4 linked regions of the Drosophila melanogaster genome follow. The gene in region 3 interacts genetically with the main gene of each other region. Each region holds a gene or a part of one and is shown on either strand. Other genes may lie near its edges.

Region 1 (4,434 bases), on a different chromosome or scaffold from region 3:
CCAGCACCAAAAGACCCAGACTGAGCTGCGCCGAGAGGAATACTATGGCATCGAACTGACTGATCTGACCCGAGGCCAAGGGCCGCAACCTCGTGCGCTCCACTTTGGCATCGATGTCCTTGTCCCAGAGATCGTTGATGGTGCACCCGGCGCCGCGCATTATCAGTGCCCCGGTGCCGAACAGACCCAGCATGGTGAGGTCCGGCCAGCAGCCCGCATCCGCGCTGAGCGCTATGCTCCAGGCGCAAGGCCAGAAAAGGAGGTAGGTGCCAATAGGCCGGTCGATTCGCATTAGTTGGGCATAGGGTTTGGCGGCCGACACGAGTTCCTGCAGCGGCGTTTGCTGCTTCACGGGCTCAGTGGCGGTACTCGAACTCCTGGAGCATACATCCTGCAGCCGGGACTTATCCCAAGTGCTCCAATCTCCAATCAGAACACGCGCTGGTTGCCGGGGCAGCATGTGTTTTGTTGTTGCCGCCGCTGCATAAGAGCTGCGGAAGTGCCTAGCGCTCTGGAGTCGCAGGTGTCGAAGCGCATACATTGCGATTTGCCTTGCACTAGCACCTTCAACGATTAAAGCATTAAGTCACACGATGTTAAGTTGTATTTGTTCGTAAACTCACAGTCAAAAAATGGCAAGATGTTTAATGGAACTTTGGTTGGGAATGTCAAAGGGCTGCCATCCGGGTAAAGGCAGACAAAGAGTTGCCGGATAGATGAAAAAACAATATGATCCGGTGGCACTGCTGCATTTGGCGATAAAAATTTGAATTTAAGTTTCAAAGACAAATATATTAAAGTTGTAAACAACTTGTGTTAATTGTTAACTTTTGAGTTGTGTTTCACCAAAGTCATATTTATATATCTAAACACAGAAGAACATATGCGGAATGTAGTTCTTCGTTTTACCAATACTAATAACTAAAGCTTCTTTACAGTTATCTCCACCTAAGCAGTTTAGCAAAAGCTTTTGCTCTCTTTTTTGCGTAGACCCAACCATTTACCCCTCTGCAATATCGTTAATGTTTTGCGCACGTCGCCCATTTTTCGAAATTGGCACACGGCGCAGGAATGTCCGTAGAATTTATGCACACGGCCGCAGAAGGTTTGCGCACGGCCATCAATTTTGGCGGCATTCTATCCCAGTTAGAAATAGCACAGTAAGAAATAACACTCTAGGAAAGCCAAGTGGACTAAGGCAGACCTCCGGCGATCCGGCGGCCGACGGTTGCTATCGCTCCCATGCCGGAATATGGGCATATACCTACGTATGAATGTACTCGACTAGAGCCATAAAACCGTGATCGAAGCGAAGAAATAATGGAATTATTTCAACATCATGTATTACAGCAACAATTTCAGGGGGTTGTATTAGCCCATGATTGATAATCTGAATTGCAATAAATTCTGCACACGAATCGATTGTCGAACCTTTGCCATGAGTCCATAAATTAAGCTGCAAACCGCAGAGAAACCCACGACGCATCAATTATGGATTTTATCTCTCGAGATAAAGATCTGCAACTGATACCCAGAATATATCTTTTGATCTGACCTCTAACACTGAGATCTGCATGCATTTATGTTTATTTACATGACTGTATCTGGGCTGCCTTTCTTAGTGTGGGGCGACTATCGTTGGTATCGCCGCTACTGGGTGATAACGCTCTTTCCCATTGCCCATAGATAAGCGCACTTTCCTATCGCCGCGTCGGGGGATTAGGTGCGATTTTCTTTAAAAAACCACTCGCGAGCAGCGGGTTTCAAGCAGTCAACGCTCTGCTCTCAGCACCTCAGCAGGTCTAGCTCTTATCACTGTGCCTCCCCGATCGCCAGTCGGATTTTCCACGCCTTCTATCTATATCTATACTACACCAGCAGCCCAAGATGGATCACGGCTCGGATGACAGCACCAGCACGGCCAAGTCCTGCCCTATGATCATGGTGGTGAGTACGCAGTTACACAACTCCTGTGTCCAACAATTTTGATACAAAATCACTTACCACTGCGCTAAACGCTGTAATTTAAAAGTCACTCATCCAGTTTAGCTGAATGAGATTTGCACGGAGAGCAAACAAATATCTCGTCCGACTTGGAATTTGAATTCTCTGGCTAGTCACTCCCTAGTATAAGTTCGTATAAGTATGTTTATGTGCCAGAAACCACAACGAATTATTCGCTCTCTAGCGCTTTATTCGCTCTCAGCAAATACAAATAATACAAATTGAATATGCTCGAACAGGGTGTCTCATGAATAAAGATTCATGGGTTAAATTATACCGCTGTAAGGGAATTATAAAAAAGATGTTTAATTCGAATGTTATGTTTATGTTGATGTTTAATTGGAAAGCTTAAGCTTGATATTTTATAAAACTAAAAGTAATATTAAACTTTTGTATTAAGGATCATCTTAGCAAAAGTGACCATATAGATATACCTAGATATTAGATATCTAGGAATCTAGATATAGATACGAATTAGAAAGTTATTAAGTGGTAATTAGTGGTAGTTAACTGGTATTTAAGCCTCATCTTACTGATCTTATGGATTCTTATGTAGTTAATCTTTCACTCTCGCATCCTTTCAGTTCCACGCTGGACACTGCGAGCGAATTTTGTGGCGCGGATGGGTGGCGTCCACTGTGACGGAGTTCGTGCTCTCCGCCCTGGCCATCTTCCTGGTGTCCTTCCTGTATGAGGCGCTCAAGTTCCTGCGACAGCAACTGGCGCGCAGGGAAGCCCGTCGAGCAAGCGAGCAGCTGGCGGCGGAGCAGCGTAGGAAGAACGAGGCTCCGGCAGCCGGAGGATGCTGCTCGGAAGCTCCCCTGGCGGAGCCGAGGGAGCAGACCTACTGGCAGCGCTTGTTCGCCTCGTCGCACATCGTCCAGTCCCTGCTGAACCTGCTGCAGATCGTCATCTCGTACCTGCTGATGCTGATCTTCATGACCTTCAACTACTGGCTGTGCCTGGCAGTGATCCTGGGACTGGGTCTGGGCTACTTCTTCTTCGGCTGGAACAAGAAGAATCCCGACGAGAGCGAGTGCTGTCCTTAGATCAAGAATATCGCTCTTAATTGTTTATATATCTTGCAATTGTTATAAACTAAGCCCTTATCAGTTCTTGGTTCACACATCAAAGAAAAAGTCCCGTCCCCACGTAATTATACAAATTGTTTAAAAATACAATTTTATTCGATAGTTACACTTGGTTTAATTGTTATTGATGTAATCGTAGCATAAATTAGTCAACTAGTTTACTTAATGAGCATATTGTACAAATAGTGTAGTCATGAGAACAAGAACCTATACAACGCGTATTCATCTAAAGCGATTAAAGTACTACTCAATACTTTTGACTTTACAATATGTTTTTATAAGCAATACACTTTATTTTTGACCACCCCGAACTCAAAACGCAAACAATCCGATATGAGACAAAAAAGAAGGCAAAGTTAAATCTCCAGGATTACATGAAATTCGTTATGAAATGCGAACATTACCAGGTCTGAGTCCTGACAGCCCACAACTCACATTTGAAGGCCTAACTAATCACGATACTCACCTATCACACAATAGTACATATTTTAGTTTAGTTAAGATCTTGAAAAATCTTTTTAACAAATATTTTAGCTGTGATACATCTGGGCAGGTAATATAACTAAGCAAACCTTATGATTATGTGAATCATCTCGCACACATTTTTTTACGACACTTTATCTATTTGTACTTGCCTAACCACACACCAGTATTTGCAAGCTTCTTAGTTAAAGTTTAAATTATTTTGAAATTTCCGGGATAATTATAAGTTCTTTTAGTGCATTTGTTTAAAATTTGAGTGACAAGTGAGCGCCATGATGAGACCATTCCCTAACTAGCTCTTAGACTAGAGTAACCTAGACTGAACAACCGCGATCGAAAGTAGCTAGACCCGCAACCAATCCGCTGATTATAGACCACCCAATCATAAGCCCGTGGCTCCAGCGGCCATCATTCCGCCGTGATGATGGTGGTGATGCATTCCGCCGTTCTGGAAGTACATGTAGTAGTTGTACGGCGACTGCTGTCCCGCCCCACCCTCGCAGTCGAGCAGTGGCTGACCACCGGCCGTTCCCGCCACCGGCGAAGGAGTCATCGGCAGCGGGGATACCGTACTGCCCATGCCGCCCATTCCACCCACTCCGACGCCCACTTGGCAACTGGCGCGCAGGGCAACAGCCTGATGGTGGGCCAGGATATCGCTGACCGAGTGGGAGGAGGGCCAGTGGGCGGCAGCGGCTGCGGCGGCCACACTCCTCAGCTGGTGGGGATGGGGCACTGATCCCTGACCGCCCGCTCCCTGCGGCGGGGATGGACTTCCACAGGGCGTCTTCATGCTGTAGGCCGCCGCAGCACTGTACGGCTGGTAGATGGAGTTGTACAGGTGGGCGTGGGCATG
Region 2 (6,821 bases), on a different chromosome or scaffold from region 3:
CCACGCCCTGAACATCACGCTGCGGGTGCTGCTGTCCATCAAGTCGACGCAAATGGACCAGGCCATCGACACCTTGGACCAGAACGACCTAATAGACGTGCTGATGAAGTACATATATCGGGGATTCGAGATCCCCTCGGAGGGCTCCAGTGGCCACCTGCTGCAGTGGCATGAGAAGGCCTTCGCCAAGGGAGGAGTGGGCTGCATTGTCCGCGTGCTGTCCGACACAAATCGCGCCTAGAGGAGATCAGCACAGCCAAAGGCGGTCATAGAGTCACTACCCCAACTGTTCCCTGCCCCATAAACCGATTCATACGCATCGCGGAGCATTTAATCAACACAGGATTGGAGCACTGGACACCACATCCTTATCTTCGGGATTTGCCACGCCCCAGCTGGAACCCACTTCTGTTTCTTCGCCGCAATACAAATGACGTTTTCCAAATTAGATTTTAACTGGTATCCAAGTATTAAAGTTTTTATTACGAAAGGTGAGTGGCAGTGATTTCAATCAGGGGAACGAACGTACTTCTAGTTCACTCAAGCCACACCTACATGTAACATAATTTGTAAGAAAAATTTTGTTTTTAGTAAGGCTAAGCAATTGCTACGCATCTCAAAACTCAGGAAGATTCAACTCCTATCAGATTTAAACACTTATTAATCTTCAGACTGAGCCTAGCAACTTTACGAACATAATGGCTTATCTAATCGAAATTCCAGGTGTATCATTCAACATGATGACGTTGCCTTCGTAAACTTTTAGCTGCCGTGACAGAAAACACATCTACTATGTTTGAATCAACCTTTTCTGCTTTATTTGACTATTCAATGTGTAATAAGTGCTTTGAGTAACCTAATCAAACCAATCACGGCGTCTACAACTTCTTATTAATTTAAAAAGCGGAGAGGCTCGATGATAGACAAATGCCAGGCGAATAGAAATGCGAGTTGGCTAAATGAAAGGCCCAGAATTTGGGGGTCGCATGCAATTTGATGATATTTCAGTGCTCGGTAGGGGGAACATTTAACAAAGGAGTTCGTTCTCTTTGAACGCGTCTTCAATAAATAGTTTTTATGTTGCTTATATGCGGGGATTATTAAGTCGAAACGGGTTGCTCCAATCGCTGACCAGCCTACCACATGTGGGTCTCGCGGATTTCGCTGATGATGTGATTCGCTCGCGTCAGTGCCTGAAATCAAAAGTAAGTTTAAAACGATGTCAAGCTAAGTATAAGCTAGCCAAGCGCACCTTCAGCATATCTGCCGCCTCTTTTCGGCGCACTGCAATGTGATCGGACTCGTTGAGCAGGGTTTCAGCCTTATCCGACTTATACAGATGTGTAACCAATTCGCTCTGCAAGTTGTCCTTAACGTAGTTAACCAAGAAATGCATGATGGCCTTTGGAACCGAGTCTTGTATGGATTTGCGCACAATGTAGAAATACGATTTGATCAGGTGTTCTAAAAACAAAAAGTAGTCAGATTGAGTTAGGTCTTTAAGTGGCCCGAGTTAAGTGCAACCCACCGATGACATCGCAATCCTTCTGCTCCTTGTCAGTGAGGCGACGTGGATTGTGGTTGGCCGGCACATCGGGCAGCAGATTGACCGGCTTCACTGGACTCACGATGTTATTGTGAACCGGAGTGTTGTTGGTCGAGTTCTCAATGCTGTCCGGACGCGTTGGTGCCGGCGGTAAAATGTTTGACAGCCATGTGCTGGCCATCGAAGGCGTCGAGTTCTCGGCGACGTGGTTCTAGAGAGCGAAACGAAAATGGGTTAAATAGGTTGCATACATAAATGAAGATTCCGCTGGCACCTGCTCATGCACTTGGCTATATTGCTGCTGTGAGGAATTCGGCTGCGGCGGCTGTTGCTGCTGCGGCTGCTGTGAACCAGCACTGTGCGACGAAATCTGAGGCGACATGTGGTTTCGCGGTGTATTGGCCCGCCGCTGCCCCAGATTTATCTGTGAGTAGGGATCGCTGTCCGTTTTCAGCAGACTGGGCACCAAAGCGGCATCCTTGTGGAAGTCGGGGTGCTTGGTGTTGATGTAGGCCAGCTCGATGGCCACAATGTTCTCCACCATCACGTTGGTGTGCGGCAGACGTCGACGCAGCAGCTGGGTGACCACGTCCACAATCTTCTCGTGCAGTTTGGGAAAGCTGTAGGGGAGATCGATGAAAACCTTTGGCGTTCAGCTATCATGAGTTCACATACCGCAGCATCTCCTGCTGCACTTCGTTGCCACAATGCTGAACAATGCGCTGCATCTCCTCGTGAATGAGTTCCACGCAGCGCAAGGAGGGTTCCTCCAGGCGGCGAATCTGGCGCTTCACTAGCAGTTCGAACGAGACCTCCGGAACGAACAAAGCCGGGCGTGGACCAGTGGCATTCCGGATGGCTGTCAGTATGTCCATCTTGCTCAGACCCGCCAGCGGGTGAATGGAGTCCAGGGTGCGGCCGAAGGTCTCGTGGAAAATGTAGCCCATCCGGGCACCGCCGCACAGTTCCGTGGTCTCGATATTCCTGGCCGTGCCCTCGATTGTGCAGCAGTAGGCGCTGGAGAACTTCGTGATGATCTGCAGCAGGGTCTGGCTCTTGTCGGAGACATCCTCGCCATAGGAGTTCAGCAGCGATTGGAATTGCGTGGCCATGATGTTGACGCGAGTCTGCAAGAATATGGGAAGTCATTCTCTTGAATTCAACATGCTATTCTAACCTTATCTGCCATTAATCTTCTCTTGCTTTACCATAGAAAAATATAAAGATCGATTATAATCGAGTGCCAAGTTTGTTTCATTTTTTTACATTTTCTTGAAGTTTTAGCCTGAGATTCTCGCATAGTTTGTGAAATCGATATGCAGTCTTTATAGACTAGACTCACCTTAAGATCTGGCAGGCAGTCCCGGATGTGGTGCATCAGGAGCCGGTTGAGGGTCTTGGCCAAGTAGGGCGTGCCGTTCCGGGTGGCCAGAGTGGGATACTTGCGCTGCAGGAAGGCGGCCTCGTCCTTCATCTGATCGTCGATGTGCTTTTGGTCCATGATGTCCTTCTGCGAGCGATTCATAACGCCGATGATGCCCAGCTTGACGGGAATGACCCGGCCGCACAGGATGTCGATGGCATCGGTGCCGGCATCCATGAGATCCAGTTTCGTGACCACGGCCAGAGTGCGCCGGCCATCGGGGTCCACGTCCTTGGCCAGCTTGAGTGCCTCACTGGTGGCCATGTCCGTGTTGGCGGCCGTCACAGCCAAAATGATGGAGTTCGGGTTCTCAATGTACTTGAGGACCAATTCTTTGATCTGCGCCTCGATATCCTCCGGCTGATCGCCCACCGGGACCTTGGTGATGCCGGGCAGATCCACCAGCGTTAGGTTGACCACGTGCGTTGAGAATATCTTCAGGTTGATGGGCTCCGGGCAGATGCCCTTGTTGCTGCCCGCCGCCCGCTCCGTTTCGTTTTCGATCTCCTTGCGGATCTCGTCAAAGTCCGTGAAGCACTTCTTGGTGTGCAGGAAGCGGCCCCACTCCTCGGCATTGGACGTACCTAAGTGTTATGTGGTTTAGCAATTGGGTTTTCCCGAACTTCTGACGTCTCAACTCACCATTTTCCGCCGAGCGATTCTCGCGATCATCGAGTGGGCTGTAGATCAGCTGGAGCACCAGTGGGCGACGGGTCACAATACCAGTTCCACGGGGCAGAAAGGATCGTCCCACAACGCTCTCGATCACCGAACTCTTGCCGGAGCTCTGGAAAAAAGGGGAAATGTATGTATTACTGGGAGTTAAAACGACGGCTGATAAAAGACGATGACCTGATAAGGTGGCTCCCAAGCGTTTGCAGCGAGGAAACACTTGGAAAACCGCAGATTAACTATTCTTATCTGGCAATGGGAGCCATTCTGTGATTGCAAATTTCTCAAACTTAAGCCTTTGCAACAGAAAACCAAATGAATGGTAAGAAATGGCACAGATTCAACATATTGGAGCTCCGCTGTACTCGGTATCAATGAGTTGCGCGAGCATTTAGTCATACTGACTTAATTCCAGAGCGTGAATCAAAGTGCAATTAAGCCAGCGATCGAAACATGCACACATATATGTACATACAGACACAACTATCGAAGTCACACATGTGTACGTTTGTTTTTTGCAGTGTGTTCGTGGGGGAATGTGTCACATCAGCCAGCAGCTGTTTTTTTTTTCGTTTTTGTATAATACTGTGGCATATTGATTTTCCATGGCGGCGGCGAGCAGTGCCAAAAATAATTATATAAACAATGGGGACGCCGCGAAGAGCGAAAGCTGGCTGAAATGTTGCTACAAACTGAAAACACAACTAAAATGCCGGCAAACGCACTCAGTTATATAATTTTGCGGTCACTGGAAAAGCGCAAGAGTTGGGGTTTCAGATAGCTGCGCCATATTCCGGTTCTCAGTTGCCACTCCTTTTACGGAGCTCGGGGATTTATGGTTTTCGGTGTGCGGATTTTTGGGCACCTCGCAGTTTGCATTTACCTGACTGCCTAGAACAACAATTTGGGGCAATTGGATGGAGTCGGAGCCCACGGTGTTGAAGACGTCCTGCAGCTTGTTTATGACCGGAATTAGGGCCTCCATTCTGAGTGTGTGTGTGTGCTGGGTTCCTTTGGTCGCGTTCCACTCGGCTGGCGATTAATTCGCGCACATAAAGGCCGTTCTTTTCGGCTTTTTCTGATTGACGCGAGCACCGAAATTATTTTTGCAAACCGCCAGTGTTGCACAGCAAATTTAGACTGTTTTTCTAGCGGTGTTGCCACACGGGCGGAACTTGCTGCTATCGGCAGTCCCTAGACGAGGTTGCCACCGTGCGCGAGAGTGCTGCCAATCTATTCCAAAAGGGCAGCTTTCTGTGCGCGCCAAAATTGAATTTTTGGGTGTTTCCAATTTTGCCCGTTAGTTGCGTGTATTGAATACTTTACACAAATAAAGAAAGGTATGATTTCATAACATTACTTAAAATCCCCCAATAGCTACAAAATATGAATGTCCTTTTCTTTTTGTTTTGTTTCATATTTTGCCTTTTTACTTATTTTATATGCACATGAGGAGTTTGTATTGATATGGACCAAACAAAAGGGGTCCTTACAAACCAATCTGAAAACTCACACACCACAATCTAAATCTGGCAGAATCTCAATATATTCATCGTATCTAACTAAATTGAAAAACTACACAGAGTAGGCGCATTTCTGAATACCCTTACAGACATAACAGTGAAAATGAATATATAGCATAAATATATTGTCTTTGATTTTGTCTAATTTCTGCAGAAATAAAGGACTATTTAAACGAAGAAATATTAAAGTTGGAGCAGCCGCCAAGTGGTCAGACCACGTGGCCCAAAATAGGGAAAAGGAATAATCTGGGGACCGGCCTCAAGTGCTCGAGATTTGCATGGGCGGTTGGGATGGGGACTTCCCCGGTTTTATATAAGAATTGCAGGGCAGTGAGCTGTGCCCCAAAACCAAAAAGGGGGCTACCCGACTATTTCTCGACCACACTCGATTGCCTGCCTGGCATGCATTGTGGGCGAAATGCCGGGCTCATCTGTCGTTTTTATCGGTTTATTTCAATGTTCGAGGATGCTTGTCGCCCGGTACACTAAGCATTCAAATTTCGATAGTGGCCTGGCCCAAATGGACCAGAATATTGGACGTACATATGTATGTACCACATCCATGTGCATAGAAGCCCCCACTCACGTATGCATCATGTGTCCTATTTGATAACAGTTCCCATTGTTGTTTGGCCAGCTCCTCCTGGCTGCTCCCAATTGAAAATGACAATGAAAATTGTTACAAGTTGGCTGATATCATTTTGCAATGCTCGCTTATCTCTTTAATGGCTTCCAAGCGATTTGAATATGCTTGGGATGATTTAAGATGACTTATTATTTACAATCCCATTGAAGTATCGAATTGTTTGAGTTTATTGTTCCGATCGCAGGATGGTAATATCGATTATAAGTAGTTTCAAAATTTAATCATTCCACTTCAAAATTAGTTACGCCATCCATGAAACTTTGATCATTCAAGTTTGGGATACTGACTAATCTCATTTCTTGCCCCATTATTATACATTCTGGCATTTTTCGAACTGCAAGTGGGCTTCTTTAGCATTTTCATAGATAAACTTTCGGCTTCCAATTAACAAATTTGGCTGGCAACTTTGCCAGCACACCTCTGCTGTATCTGTGTGTTTGAGTGTGTATAAATATTTCAAAATTTCCCCCATCAAATTGGCATTGTTGGACCGGGGAACTTTCGTATCTCTGGCTTGACAACTTGCCGAAATGTGCGGCGTGGAAAACTTCTTGAGTTTGAGTTGACAGTTATTGCGAAAGACGGGCGGGGGTGATGGTGATGGGGCACGCCCCCTTCTCGGGGCCGGAATATTAATTTGATAATTTCACGGCTGAATGCAAATTCGGTGTCAGGGTCCTTGGCTCTCTAATTGACTGACGAATACTTAAAATATGAATTTCAAATGAAGTTCAGCCATTGTCTGCTTTCTGGCTTTCTTTTGCCGCTTTTCGACTTGGCGCGATTAATTATGGAGTGATGATGATGATGATGGTGATGATGATGGTGTAGTTGAAGCTGGAGCAGCCTCTGCCCTCCGGTGGAGCATTAATCATGTGAAAGTAATTTTGCACATTTGCATGCGTTGCACAAAGCGATAATTTTCATCCATCATTTTCAAGTGTTTCCGCAGGATTATAGTGCTGCAAGGAGTCGCCAGCCTTTCGCTGTCATATCCTGCGTGTGTGCAGG
Region 3 (5,152 bases):
GGGGAACCTGTTCAGCGCCCCGGAAAACTACGCCTTAGTGCACTCTGTCAGTGCGGACTTCGCTATGTGTGCGGGCATAAATCTGCAGTTCCGCTGCAAATTCGGACAAGTGGATGAGCTGAAGCGCCAACACAAGCATACCGGAAATGTGGCAGTTCTGGAGCAGGATGGTAGACATATCTACAACCTGGTGACCAAGGAGCGCAGCCACGAAAAGTGCACTTACGCAGCTCTCTACTACGCATTGCTGGCCATGCGGGAACATATGGTAAGGAATTGTATTTTTAAGGGCTTACAGACCAAAACTGCATTACTAAAATAAAGAGAAAGGTGAAACATTATAGTTAGGATCAGGTTCACCAAACTGTATTAGAGCAAGATACTGGATACTAAATATGCTTGCTATATTCTCTCTTTCAGAGGGAGCACGGAGTGACCAAGTTGGCCATTCCCAGACTTGGATGCGGCATCGACCGTTTGGATTGGTTGCGCGTGCGGAGTCTGCTGGATCTGGTTTTCGCCGAGGATAGCGTGGACATAATTGCATTCTTCTACACACCGCCACAAATGGTTAAGGACACGTTGAACGTGGTTTGTCCCACCTGCCGGCACATGAAGACCATCCATTTGCCATCGAGGTCCGTTAGTGGATCAAGAAATTCGCTTCATCGCGAAAAGACTCCCTTTTAATGTATATAGCCATCTTTGTTTGACACTCGAAATGGTTTTGCTTGGGACTTGTGGCATCATATGCACCAAATACTTATATAGTTGATAAGAACGATACACCTAAGAGGTTTTTATAGCACACAAAGTTTCCATATTTGGTTATTTATACTGTATTTAATGTATTAATAAATAAAACACGTCCTCGAGAGGATATTAACCAAAGATTGGAGTTTTGATAAATACATATATATACCCTTACGAACCATTATCTAGTGTTATCGTATGACCAAAAATTAATCTAGTAGCTGCCTGTTACACTAAGTCAGACAGATCTAAAACCCTTATTTAAACTAAATGTATTCTCCCAAACTTCTAGAACTACGTAGCGCATTTCGGCGAGCTTTTGTAGTCGGAATGTCATCCAAACCTCAGTACACCCTAAGCGAAGTGGATGGGGATCTGTTTTCCGCCCCCAAGACCTATTCCTTGGCGCACTGTGTGGGCGCAGATCTTGCGATGGGTGCTGGAATTGCCGTGCAGTTCAAGAAGGTATTCGGAAGGTTGGACGAGCTGCAAGCCCAACAAGCGGGCAGTGGAGATATTGCGGTGCTGAAGGATGACCAGCGGTACATTTACTACCTAGTAACCAAGCCTCAGAGCTGGGGAAAGCCCACCTACGAATCTGTACAAGCATCTTTGGAGCAGATGCGTGAGCATATGGTAAATACATGCCTGATACATATCTTTTATGAATGGAATGTATCCCTGCTTTTATTTATTATATATATAAAGCTTAGACAAGTTATATTAATAAGAGCTACATTTTATTATTCCTACATTAGCGCAAAAACAACGTGAATAAGCTGGCCATCCCAAAAATTGGCTGCGGAATTGATGGCTTGGAATGGGAAAAAGTCAGCGGAGTCCTCGAGTACGTTTTTGGCCAAGAGCCGCTGGAGATTGTTGTCTACAATTTTGTGCCTCCACAGGGAAAATAATGGATCGTTTAGTTTAATATGAGCCATTTACTTCATAGCAACATAATTATAAACGACCAGCTCAACAGAATCCGCTTGAAAAACCTGGCAAATTATTTCCTTAACTTTGGGCCAGTTTAGGCCATCCAAACCGCATCCAATGCGGGGCATGGCTAGCTTGGGTACTTGGTGGGAGATCTGCAAATGGTAGAAAGATTCGTATATCATAACTTCTTATAGAAGATACATAAACATACCATGTGTTTTCGCATGGCGATCAAGGAACTCTGGAGAAGTTCGTAGGTGGGCTTTCCCCAGCTGGATTTCTTGGTGATCAGATAGTAAATAAATCGCTGCTGGTCCTGAAGGACAGCCACGCCGCCTGGCTGAACATTTTGTCTCTGCAAATTCAACAACTGTCCAAATTTGTTTCTGGAAAATAGGCAAATTTACCATTTTATTAAAAACACTAAGCCATTACCTACCGAAACTTTACAGCTATGCCTCTGCCCATTCGCAAATCGGCAGCCACGCAGTGGCACATGGAATAATCCCTTTGGCATTTGAATAGGTCGCCATTGATCTCTCTGTAAGTTAGTCCTGACATTTCCATAAAACTTTTACATTTATACTCCTCCGACTTCTTCACAAAAATTGTTTTCAATTGTGCGCTTTCTGCGTGTCCACGTTTTCCTCCGAATGGCTGCCAGCTGGTGTTTGGCAACGCGTAAGTAAACAACGATTGGCAACACTGAAGCATATACACTGCACTAAAATTAAACCCGATCAGCTGATAACAAATGAGTTTTATTTTTAAATTTATTGCCACTTTTGTACGCAAAATGCTGGAGCTGTTGCAATTTGGAGGGAAAACCCTTACGCACACGCTGAGTATTTATGTAAAAACGAACACGGGCAAAACGCTGACCGTTAATCTGGAGCCCCAGTGGGATATTAAAAACGTAAAGGAACTGGTGGCACCACAATTGGGACTTCAGCCGGATGATCTAAAGATCATATTTGCCGGTAAGGAACTAAGCGATGCCACGACAATAGAGGTAAGAAGTTTCTTTAATGTATCCGCTACATGAAGTTAACTTTTACTGTCTTCTAGTAGCAATGTGACTTGGGTCAGCAAAGCGTTTTGCATGCCATTCGTTTGCGACCGCCCGTGCAGCGCCAGAAAATCCAGTCGGCCACTTTGGAGGAGGAGGAACCTTCGCTTAGCGATGAAGCCTCCAAGCCTCTAAATGAAACTCTGTTGGACTTGCAGCTGGAAAGCGAGGAGCGTCTGAATATAACCGATGAAGGTAGGCAACAATTAGTTTTTATTGTTTTTTTTTTTTTTAACGAAACCCCTTGTAATCCCGTCGTATCCTCTCCAGAAAGAGTCCGTGCCAAAGCGCATTTCTTTGTACATTGCAGCCAATGCGATAAGCTGTGTAATGGCAAACTTCGGGTCCGCTGCGCTTTATGCAAGGGCGGCGCCTTTACTGTCCATCGTGATCCGGAGTGTTGGGATGATGTCTTGAAGTCGCGTAGAATTCCCGGTCATTGTGAAAGTCTGGAGGTGGCCTGCGTGGACAACGCGGCTGGCGATCCGCCCTTCGCTGAATTCTTCTTCAAGTGTGCTGAGCATGTCTCCGGCGGGGAGAAGGATTTTGCGGCTCCATTGAATCTAATCAAGAATAACATCAAGAATGTTCCTTGCCTGGCCTGCACGGATGTGAGGTGATTATGCAATAAGGAACATCTTAATTTCTTATAATTTTCATATCATCGAAAATGTCATAAAAAGTTCTTTTAAAGTCTTTAAAGTAATTATTTGTCATATAATTTTATTCTGCTATAATCACCTTATTATGTTCGCAGTGATACCGTGTTGGTTTTCCCCTGCGCATCGCAGCACGTCACCTGTATCGACTGCTTCCGCCATTATTGCCGTTCCCGTTTGGGCGAGCGTCAGTTTATGCCGCATCCGGACTTCGGCTACACCTTGCCCTGTCCCGCAGGCTGCGAGCACTCGTTCATCGAGGAGATTCATCACTTCAAGCTGTTGACACGCGAGGAGTACGATCGGTACCAGAGATTCGCCACCGAGGAGTATGTCCTACAGGCAGGTGGAGTACTCTGCCCCCAGCCAGGATGCGGCATGGGCCTTTTGGTGGAGCCCGATTGTCGCAAGGTGACATGCCAGAACGGCTGTGGATACGTGTTCTGCCGCAATTGTCTGCAGGGCTACCATATCGGGGAGTGTCTGCCCGAGGGGACGGGCGCCAGTGCCACAAACTCCTGCGAGTACACCGTGGACCCAAATGTGAGTTGGCTCTTATACGGCCCATTCCCGCTTGTGTAATCATGTGCTTTTTTAGCGAGCTGCCGAGGCGCGATGGGATGAGGCCAGCAATGTCACCATCAAAGTCAGCACAAAGCCCTGTCCAAAATGCAGAACCCCCACGGAGCGAGATGGTGAGTTGGGCGAGCATCGAAGACACCCAAGACGCAGTTTGTAACACATCCATACCGTCTTCTTCTCTTCCTACCAGGCGGTTGCATGCACATGGTCTGCACACGCGCTGGCTGCGGATTCGAGTGGTGCTGGGTCTGCCAGACTGAGTGGACACGCGACTGCATGGGAGCCCACTGGTTCGGCTAATCCTTCGTCATCGTTGTACGTCGGCCCGACGGGTCCTTTTTGTTTGTTGACTACTTTTAAATTGTATACCATAGTAAAGACTGCTCGAACAACACCCTGTTTGTCGTCTACGCAATCAATAGCAGAAACACCCCTGACAAGGACCAACGCGAATCACATCCTACCCCACTCTGTTCCTTTGTTGCGTGCGCACAAAAACTTTGTTTACGTTTTTTTTTAAGCTCGCCCACAAATATTTTGAGGGCTTTCCTCTTCGGCCAGGCATGCGAAAACCGCAACAAACACGTGCATTTGGCCAAACAGCCAGAGAGCGAGTGCCGCGAATGCGCAGTGGGTGGTCAGCGGCACAAGGTTCATGTGATTTCAACCCAGGCGCGTAGCCGCAAGGGGACTAATAATTGATTGGGGGATGGTAAAGGCATTTCAAAAATGTTCCTGGATTTTCAAAAGTACTAACTACTATTCTTGCTAAAGAGAGAAAACACAAAAGAGAAAATTATTAAGAAACTGAAACTTAAATTTTGGCCGTTAATACGTAAAATTAAATATTTCACTTTAATACAGTTTTATAATTCATATGTGCAACCGCCCTAGGACACATCTGTAAATCAATAGATTTTAGGCAATTATATATAGGAAACACGCATTCCCCTGAATAACTAATTTAAATTTATAAACTTCTACAAGAATTGCAATTAGTCCGCTTAGAAAAGCCGTCTTGGAAACTCGAGACGCCTGAAAGTTCACCTGCCTGGTTATCAGTCTGCCTTGCGGCTTATCGGTCATCTAAAGTTGGGCTGGCCAAATGCCACAGGTTCGCGGGACGCTCTTAAGCGGAAACATCCCTTGG
Region 4 (6,025 bases), on a different chromosome or scaffold from region 3:
GTATAGATTCGCCCGTTAATCATTATGAAATCTACGTTTTATACACAAATACAACTACCAGATTTTCATATTAAATATAACATTTATTTTAGACTCCAGTCGCGGATAAAGTACATGTAATGAATGTGCTGAGTGGGATGAGATTACTTTAAAGCTAAGATGATGCAGCAGCCAAGGTCCATGATCTGCAGATACTCGGAGCCGCCGTCCTGCAGTCGAAAGCAGCATTCCTGTGGGATAAAGGCAGCAATAAACAAGAGGAATCATATCTATCTATGCAGTCAGTACGTACGCCCAGCTTATCGCAGATCGTGGCCTTTTGCGGATCATTCAGCCCCGGATGATGGACAATGAACTCGACGAACTGTTCCATCATTTGGCCAACGCTGTAGGCGGAGAAGCCAATCTCCCGCACGAACTGCTCCAGGCGCTCGTAGTTCCCAGAGCGACAGACCTCCAGGTAATCCTCCAGATAGTACTCCGGTATAACGCCCGACATCTCGAACAGATCAGCAGTGTTGATGATGTGCTCGGGCCCTTTAAGGCGGTAGCAGGACTGCAAGGTGGTGATAGCGCGTCGCAGATCTCCGCCGGAAATTTTGACAATGGATTTATAGGCATCGTCCTCTATCTTTACTCCCTCCATCTCGCAAATGTACTTCAAACGATCGATCACCTTGTCTTCGCCCAGCGCCTTGAAGCGAAATTTAGAGCAACGCGACGTGATTGGCACGATAATTCGGGACACATAGTTGCAGATCAGGCAAAAACGGGTGCTCCGGCTCTCCTTCTCCATGGTGCGACGCAGCGCAGACTGTGCGGCATGGGTCATCGAATCGGCCTCGTCCAGAATGATGATCTTGAAGGGCGGACACGGCTTACCGTCCGGACGCACACTGCTGGCCGACAGCTGCGAGAAGTTTTTGATCTTGGTGCGCACCACATTGATGCCACGCTCGTCGGAGGCGTTCAGCTCGAGGATGCGGTCCTTGAACATGTCGCCGAAGATCTGTCGGCTGGCAGCCAGGATCGTGCTGGTCTTGCCCGTGCCGGGCGGTCCGTAGAGCAGCATGTTGGGCAGGTCCCCGCCTTCAACGCACTTGCGCAGCACGGCCACCACTTCGGACTGCTCCACCACATCATCCACATTGCGTGGCCGGCTGTTTTCGTCATTCGAAAAGGATAGAAATCACTTAAATTAGCATGTGCTCCAAGTTGGCGACATCGTCAACTCACTATTTCTCCACCCACGGTGCCGGTGGCTTGCGACGCGCCGCCGGAGTACCCTGGCTCTTGTCTCCGGATCCCGCCGTTGATTTTCCCGTTTTCAAAAAGGCTTGCATACCGGTTTCCTTGTTTCTTGACAAAATTACAAATAAAGCAGGACGCAAATGCAAGTTAAGCGCGCGTTTATCGATAACAAGTTGTCGCGAGTTGAAAGGTTGCCGGTAGCAGAGCTGCCAGCTAGAGCGAAGCAATTGTACACCTGTAAAAACTTCTGTGTATTACAAAAGTTTGTATCAAATGTAATACTAAAAATGTTATATTAAAACATTTTTTAATATTTGTACTTATAAAATTACACTTTTGTACAGATTTTTTTATTTGCAAATAATTTGAATTTAAAATGAAAACAATATAAACATTAGATTCTCGCCGCGTAGGTGCATCCATCTATCCGGCAACCCTGGCCTGCATCGCTTTTGTTTTTGTTGCGTTTTTTTATTGCGCTGATAACTACGGGTTTTTTAGTTTTTTATAAAGGATATAAATAGAGCGGCTTTCGCAGGCAGGGTGGACAAACATGATTAACCGCCCAGCACAGCGCGTGCCAACGAGTGTTTTATAAGAGCCCGATTTGGATTCTGATTTTGATTTGCTATTGCCTTTGCCTCTGCCATTGCGATTGTTATTGTTTTTGTGCCCCGCCTTCGCCCCACAAAACCGAAAAGGAAAAAACCAAGAGAAGCGTTGCCAAAACGTTGTTATGTAAATGCACGGAAGCAGAACGTTGGCACAGGCACCAATCCTCATCCGGAATCCACCGCAATCGACGTGCTCCGCAGCGGGACACGAAGTTTAAGGTCGGAGCGCAGAGCACCCGCACGCATCACGCGATTGTGTGAAAGTTTCGCCTGGCTCGAGTTTGTTTAGCGCTTGTTTACCCAACGCGTAACGAAGTCACTGAGTTTCCCCTTCCTTGTGCATTGCAGATAGGAAACCCGGCTCGGAAATGGCCGCCAAGACGGACGAATCGTCGCCAGCCGTGGCGTCAAGCACAAGCAGCAATCCCGCTCCCTCCAGCGGACGCCACCAGTTGCGACCCGTGAAGTTTGACTACGCGGACTCATTCGCCTGCACTTACATCGTTTCCGTGGTGGCCGCCTCCATTGCAGAGCTCGCGACCTATCCCTTGGACCTGACCAAGACGCGTCTGCAGATCCAGGGCGAAGGAGCCGCCCATTCGGCGGGAAAGTCCAATGTGAGTGGCACCCCACACCTAACTGCTTTCCGCTTGTTGTTCTATTGTCTCAGGCTTTTGGTTACTCCTAACCCCGGAACCTAATCCACATCCCCCTCTTCCAATCCATCCATTCCTTAGCTCACAAACTAAACCAGAGATTGTGCTGCCCCCTCCGATTTATCTACTCCAATCGCGCGATTAGCGAGCCGAAATTTCACAGTGTGTTTTCAGAGTCAGAGATACGGCAAATCGGAGTGGGCACGGCCTTGCTGATAAGCCTTGGCTCACAAGACGCTATGCTAGGTGGCTCGGTATCAGTCACAGCTTCTGCCCAGATCACACCCATGCACCCACCCCCACCCCGGCTAGCTCATCCATTGTACCCGTATACGCCTTCCCACTTTCCCATCTGTGTGTGTGAATGTTTGGATTGGTTTAATTGTTTGCTTGTATTCATGGACTGTATTGATACAATTTATTACTAAGAGAGTGTATGATAACGATAGCTAACAAATATGAGTAGGTACTTGTTTAATCGTATCAAAAGAAACCAGTTTGCTAACCACAAAGAACATGTTTGATATTCGAATTACCAATCTCAGTTACGCAGAAAGGGAAGAGGGAAAATGAAAATATAAAGATTTCTAAATCAATAATAGCTAATCCTCCTAAGACGAAAAGCTATGTTAGAAAAGATACATTAACAAAAAGTTACAAGGCTTATAGGGTAAGCTTAGTAAATGGAATTAGATATGCGATAGGAATGGCCTAGCAATACAGGACCCCCATCCCACTGACCAATCCATTCCAATCCGTTTGTGTGTGTATGTGCCTGTTCCATGTGAATATTGTGTTTTTCGGCCTGCAACAGATACAGATACAGATACAGATACTACAATGAACCACCCACAATTACCGATTCCCAACGATTACCATTACCAGATGCAATACCGCGGCATGGTGGCCACCGCCTTCGGGATTGCGCGTGAGGAGGGCGCCCTGAAGCTGTGGCAGGGCGTAACGCCGGCGCTCTACCGACACGTCGTCTATAGGTGGGCATTCCCAAAACTCCTCATTCTAGCATCTAGATCACCGCCACAGCCAATCTGCGCCAGCAGCTGTTAGCCATCAGCCATTAGCTCAGCAAGTTCTAACCCAACTTCTCCCTGTCCTCCCATGTCCATCCGCAGCGGTGTGAGGATCTGCAGCTACGACCTGATGCGCAAGGAGTTCACACAGAACGGCACCCAGGCTCTGCCGGTTTGGAAGTCGGCGCTGTGCGGCGTCACGGCCGGAGCCGTTGCCCAGTGGCTTGCCTCGCCCGCTGACCTCGTCAAGGTGCAAATCCAAATGGAGGGCCGACGACGTCTGATGGGCGAGCCACCGAGGGTGCACTCCGCTGGCCATGCCTTCCGCCAGATCGTGCAGCGTGGCGGAATTAAGGGCCTGTGGAAGGGCAGCATCCCGAATGTGCAGCGAGCGGCGTTGGTCAATCTGGGCGACCTAACCACATACGACACCATCAAGCACCTGATCATGAATCGCCTGCAGATGCCCGACTGTCACACAGTGCACGTGCTGGCCTCCGTTTGTGCCGGATTCGTGGCAGCGATCATGGGCACGCCAGCTGATGTGGTGAAGACGCGCATCATGAACCAGCCCACCGACGAGAATGGCCGGTAAGTGACCAATGGCCGCATTTAACTATTGGAACGCTTAATCACCTATGTTATTCTCGCAGGGGCCTGCTCTATCGCGGATCCGTGGACTGCCTGCGACAGACGGTTTCGAAGGAGGGCTTTGTGGCGCTGTACAAAGGCTTTCTGCCCTGCTGGATACGAATGGCGCCGTGGTCGCTCACCTTCTGGCTGTCCTTCGAACAGATCCGCAAGATGATCGGAGCCTCCGGCTACTGAGCGGTGGCTCAATTTAAGTTTAGGTGTAGATGTACATACAAGCACATGTATAACGCAGTTCGTTCATGTTACCCCGCCTTTAAGTCGGTCATAATCCTATTTTCCGTGCCTGAATGCCCAAATGTCAGGAGGATGTTGTGCGGCTCCTGGCCAAGCTTAGCAGCATATACTCTGTCCATTTTAGTCTGTTATGCCAATCAGATCTTTCAGGTTTCTTTCTCTTACCTTTTGTTATTGTTGTTGCCTTAAGATTAAAATCAAAACTTACAATAAAGCGAGAAACTTGTTATTTCAACGGATATTACTTAGGCGATTACTTAAGAATTTCCCAAGAGTCGAGCGAAATCGAAAGAGACAGCAATGCTGGTGGTCAATGGAACTTGTATAATCCTGGCAAATAAATTATTAATAGGATTTTTCCCTTCCTTCAGTGAAAGTGAAACAGTTTTAAGTATTTTATCAATAGATTTTTTTTGGTATATGTATATTCCTAACCAGCTCGAGTGCAATTAAGTAAAATCAAGAAAATAAAATTGGTAATAATACCTAGGAGGCATACACACAGGCACACATATGTACATAAATACATAGCTACGTATAATATATAGATATAGATACATATATCCAAAATTGCATTTACGTTTCGATTAAAGACTCCAATGGAAAAGGAAAATTTGGGTGCCCAAAAGCAAACCACACACAGAACTGGAAACCCGCAAACAGATTGGATGGCAATGGCATTCGTCTACAGATCTTTCATCCGTCATCGTCATCATGGTTCAGGTTCATGTAATGGAGTCGTGGAGGGGAGCGGGGGAATGAACGGCGACGGTACTAGTGGTGCGGGTGTTTCGCAGCCCCTCCAGGTTGGTCTGTCGTTGTTTCTCCATCGTCGTGTTTTCCGTGTGGTTTCATGTGCAGGACTTAATCCGAAGTGTGTGTGCTTGACTAGACGCCGAGGAAAGCTAGTGCCGGTATCAGGATCTACTCCAGTCCCAGCATCCAGTTGATGCCTTGTACTATGAAAAAGATGAGCGGCTGCCAGGCCACCAGCCAACGAATCCAATCCAGCAGGCGACCGTACAAAACGTGCGGCTTCTCCCAGCTAGAGGAGAAACAATATTAAGTAGGCCAGTCAAACGGATGGCTCTGAATGGCTTACGGATTGCGGAACATCTTCTGGAGATCGACCTTTTCCTTGCAGTAGGGACACGTCTGCTTCTTGCCCACAATGCACCAACCACGTATACAGAACTCGTGGAATACGTGGTTACAAGACAACTTGTAGGTGTTCTCAATGACGCCCTCTTCCTTCTCCGAGACCAGCAACTGATTGCCACACACTGCGCAGACATTCTGATCAAGATGTCGTGTTGGAATACCCTGAGGTGTGTAGTACTGTGGGACAAACGGGAGGGTTAGAAGATTCCAACTGGGTATCTGGCCAATGGTCAACTCACGCCAATAGCTGCCGCCATCTTATCCGAACATATCTCGGATATATCACGCCCCAGGACGCCGATGTACAGGCCGTAGAAGCAGAACATCAGGCCCACATCCATCCATGTGTTTGGTGGCTGTGAGAACATGTAATTCATGCCCAGAAAGGCGGCTATGATCACCAGATAGCCCACCAGGCCAAGGC

What was found.
Region 1: of park (region 3) and Ctr1B, changing one suppresses a phenotype caused by changing the other (phenotypic suppression), as found in Drosophila melanogaster (one study listed by BioGRID).
Region 2: of park (region 3) and Drp1, changing one suppresses a phenotype caused by changing the other (phenotypic suppression), as found in Drosophila melanogaster (2 studies listed by BioGRID).
Region 4: of park (region 3) and Ucp4A, changing one suppresses a phenotype caused by changing the other (phenotypic suppression), as found in Drosophila melanogaster (one study listed by BioGRID).

The regions. Positions count from the first base shown.
Region 1 is NT_033777.3:8,315,850-8,320,283, forward strand, and holds Ctr1B (copper transporter 1B), read left to right. Parts: upstream 1-1,762; 5' UTR 1,763-1,887; coding exon 1,888-1,947; exon of another isoform or gene 1,948-2,157; intron 2,158-2,588; coding exon 2,589-3,053; 3' UTR 3,054-3,356; downstream 3,357-4,434. Other genes in the region: Coq2 (coenzyme Q biosynthesis protein 2), read right to left, coding at 1-541; Poxm (Pox meso), read right to left, coding at 3,961-4,434.
Region 2 is NT_033779.5:2,580,646-2,587,466, forward strand, and holds Drp1 (dynamin related protein 1), read right to left. Parts: upstream 4,786-6,821; 5' UTR 4,627-4,785; coding exon 4,525-4,626; intron 3,757-4,524; coding exon 3,612-3,756; intron 3,554-3,611; coding exon 2,889-3,553; intron 2,674-2,888; coding exon 2,222-2,673; intron 2,167-2,221; coding exon 1,821-2,166; intron 1,758-1,820; coding exon 1,529-1,757; intron 1,465-1,528; coding exon 1,253-1,464; intron 1,194-1,252; coding exon 1,137-1,193; 3' UTR 636-1,136; downstream 1-635. Other genes in the region: Arpc5 (Actin-related protein 2/3 complex, subunit 5), read left to right, coding at 1-241.
Region 3 is NT_037436.4:21,193,997-21,199,148, reverse strand, and holds park (parkin), read left to right. Parts: upstream 1-2,295; 5' UTR 2,296-2,373; intron 2,374-2,379; exon of another isoform or gene 2,380-2,436; 5' UTR 2,437-2,446; coding exon 2,447-2,704; intron 2,705-2,763; coding exon 2,764-2,956; intron 2,957-3,012; exon of another isoform or gene 3,013-3,031; coding exon 3,032-3,377; intron 3,378-3,502; exon of another isoform or gene 3,503-3,518; coding exon 3,519-3,963; exon of another isoform or gene 3,964-4,018; coding exon 4,019-4,115; exon of another isoform or gene 4,116-4,192; coding exon 4,193-4,302; 3' UTR 4,303-4,395; downstream 4,396-5,152. Other genes in the region: Targ2 (terminal ADP-ribose protein glycohydrolase 2), read left to right, coding at 1-268, 421-690; Targ1 (terminal ADP-ribose protein glycohydrolase 1), read left to right, coding at 1,024-1,389, 1,512-1,600, 1,659-1,689; Targ3 (terminal ADP-ribose protein glycohydrolase 3), read right to left, coding at 1,695-1,844, 1,904-2,078, 2,132-2,253. UniProt on the Drosophila melanogaster protein: E3 ubiquitin-protein ligase which accepts ubiquitin from E2 ubiquitin-conjugating enzymes in the form of a thioester and then directly transfers the ubiquitin to targeted substrates, such as Paris, Marf, Opa1, Miro, pnut, Septin1, Tom20 and porin.
Region 4 is NC_004354.4:17,843,277-17,849,301, forward strand, and holds Ucp4A (uncoupling protein 4A), read left to right. Parts: upstream 1-1,672; 5' UTR 1,673-2,084; exon of another isoform or gene 2,085-2,144; intron 2,145-2,213; 5' UTR 2,214-2,233; coding exon 2,234-2,482; intron 2,483-3,406; coding exon 3,407-3,516; intron 3,517-3,654; coding exon 3,655-4,143; intron 4,144-4,205; coding exon 4,206-4,380; 3' UTR 4,381-4,947; downstream 4,948-6,025. Other genes in the region: CG8142 (uncharacterized protein), read right to left, coding at 144-230, 293-1,160, 1,237-1,343; CG15814 (uncharacterized protein), read right to left, coding at 5,365-5,485, 5,543-5,778, 5,841-6,025.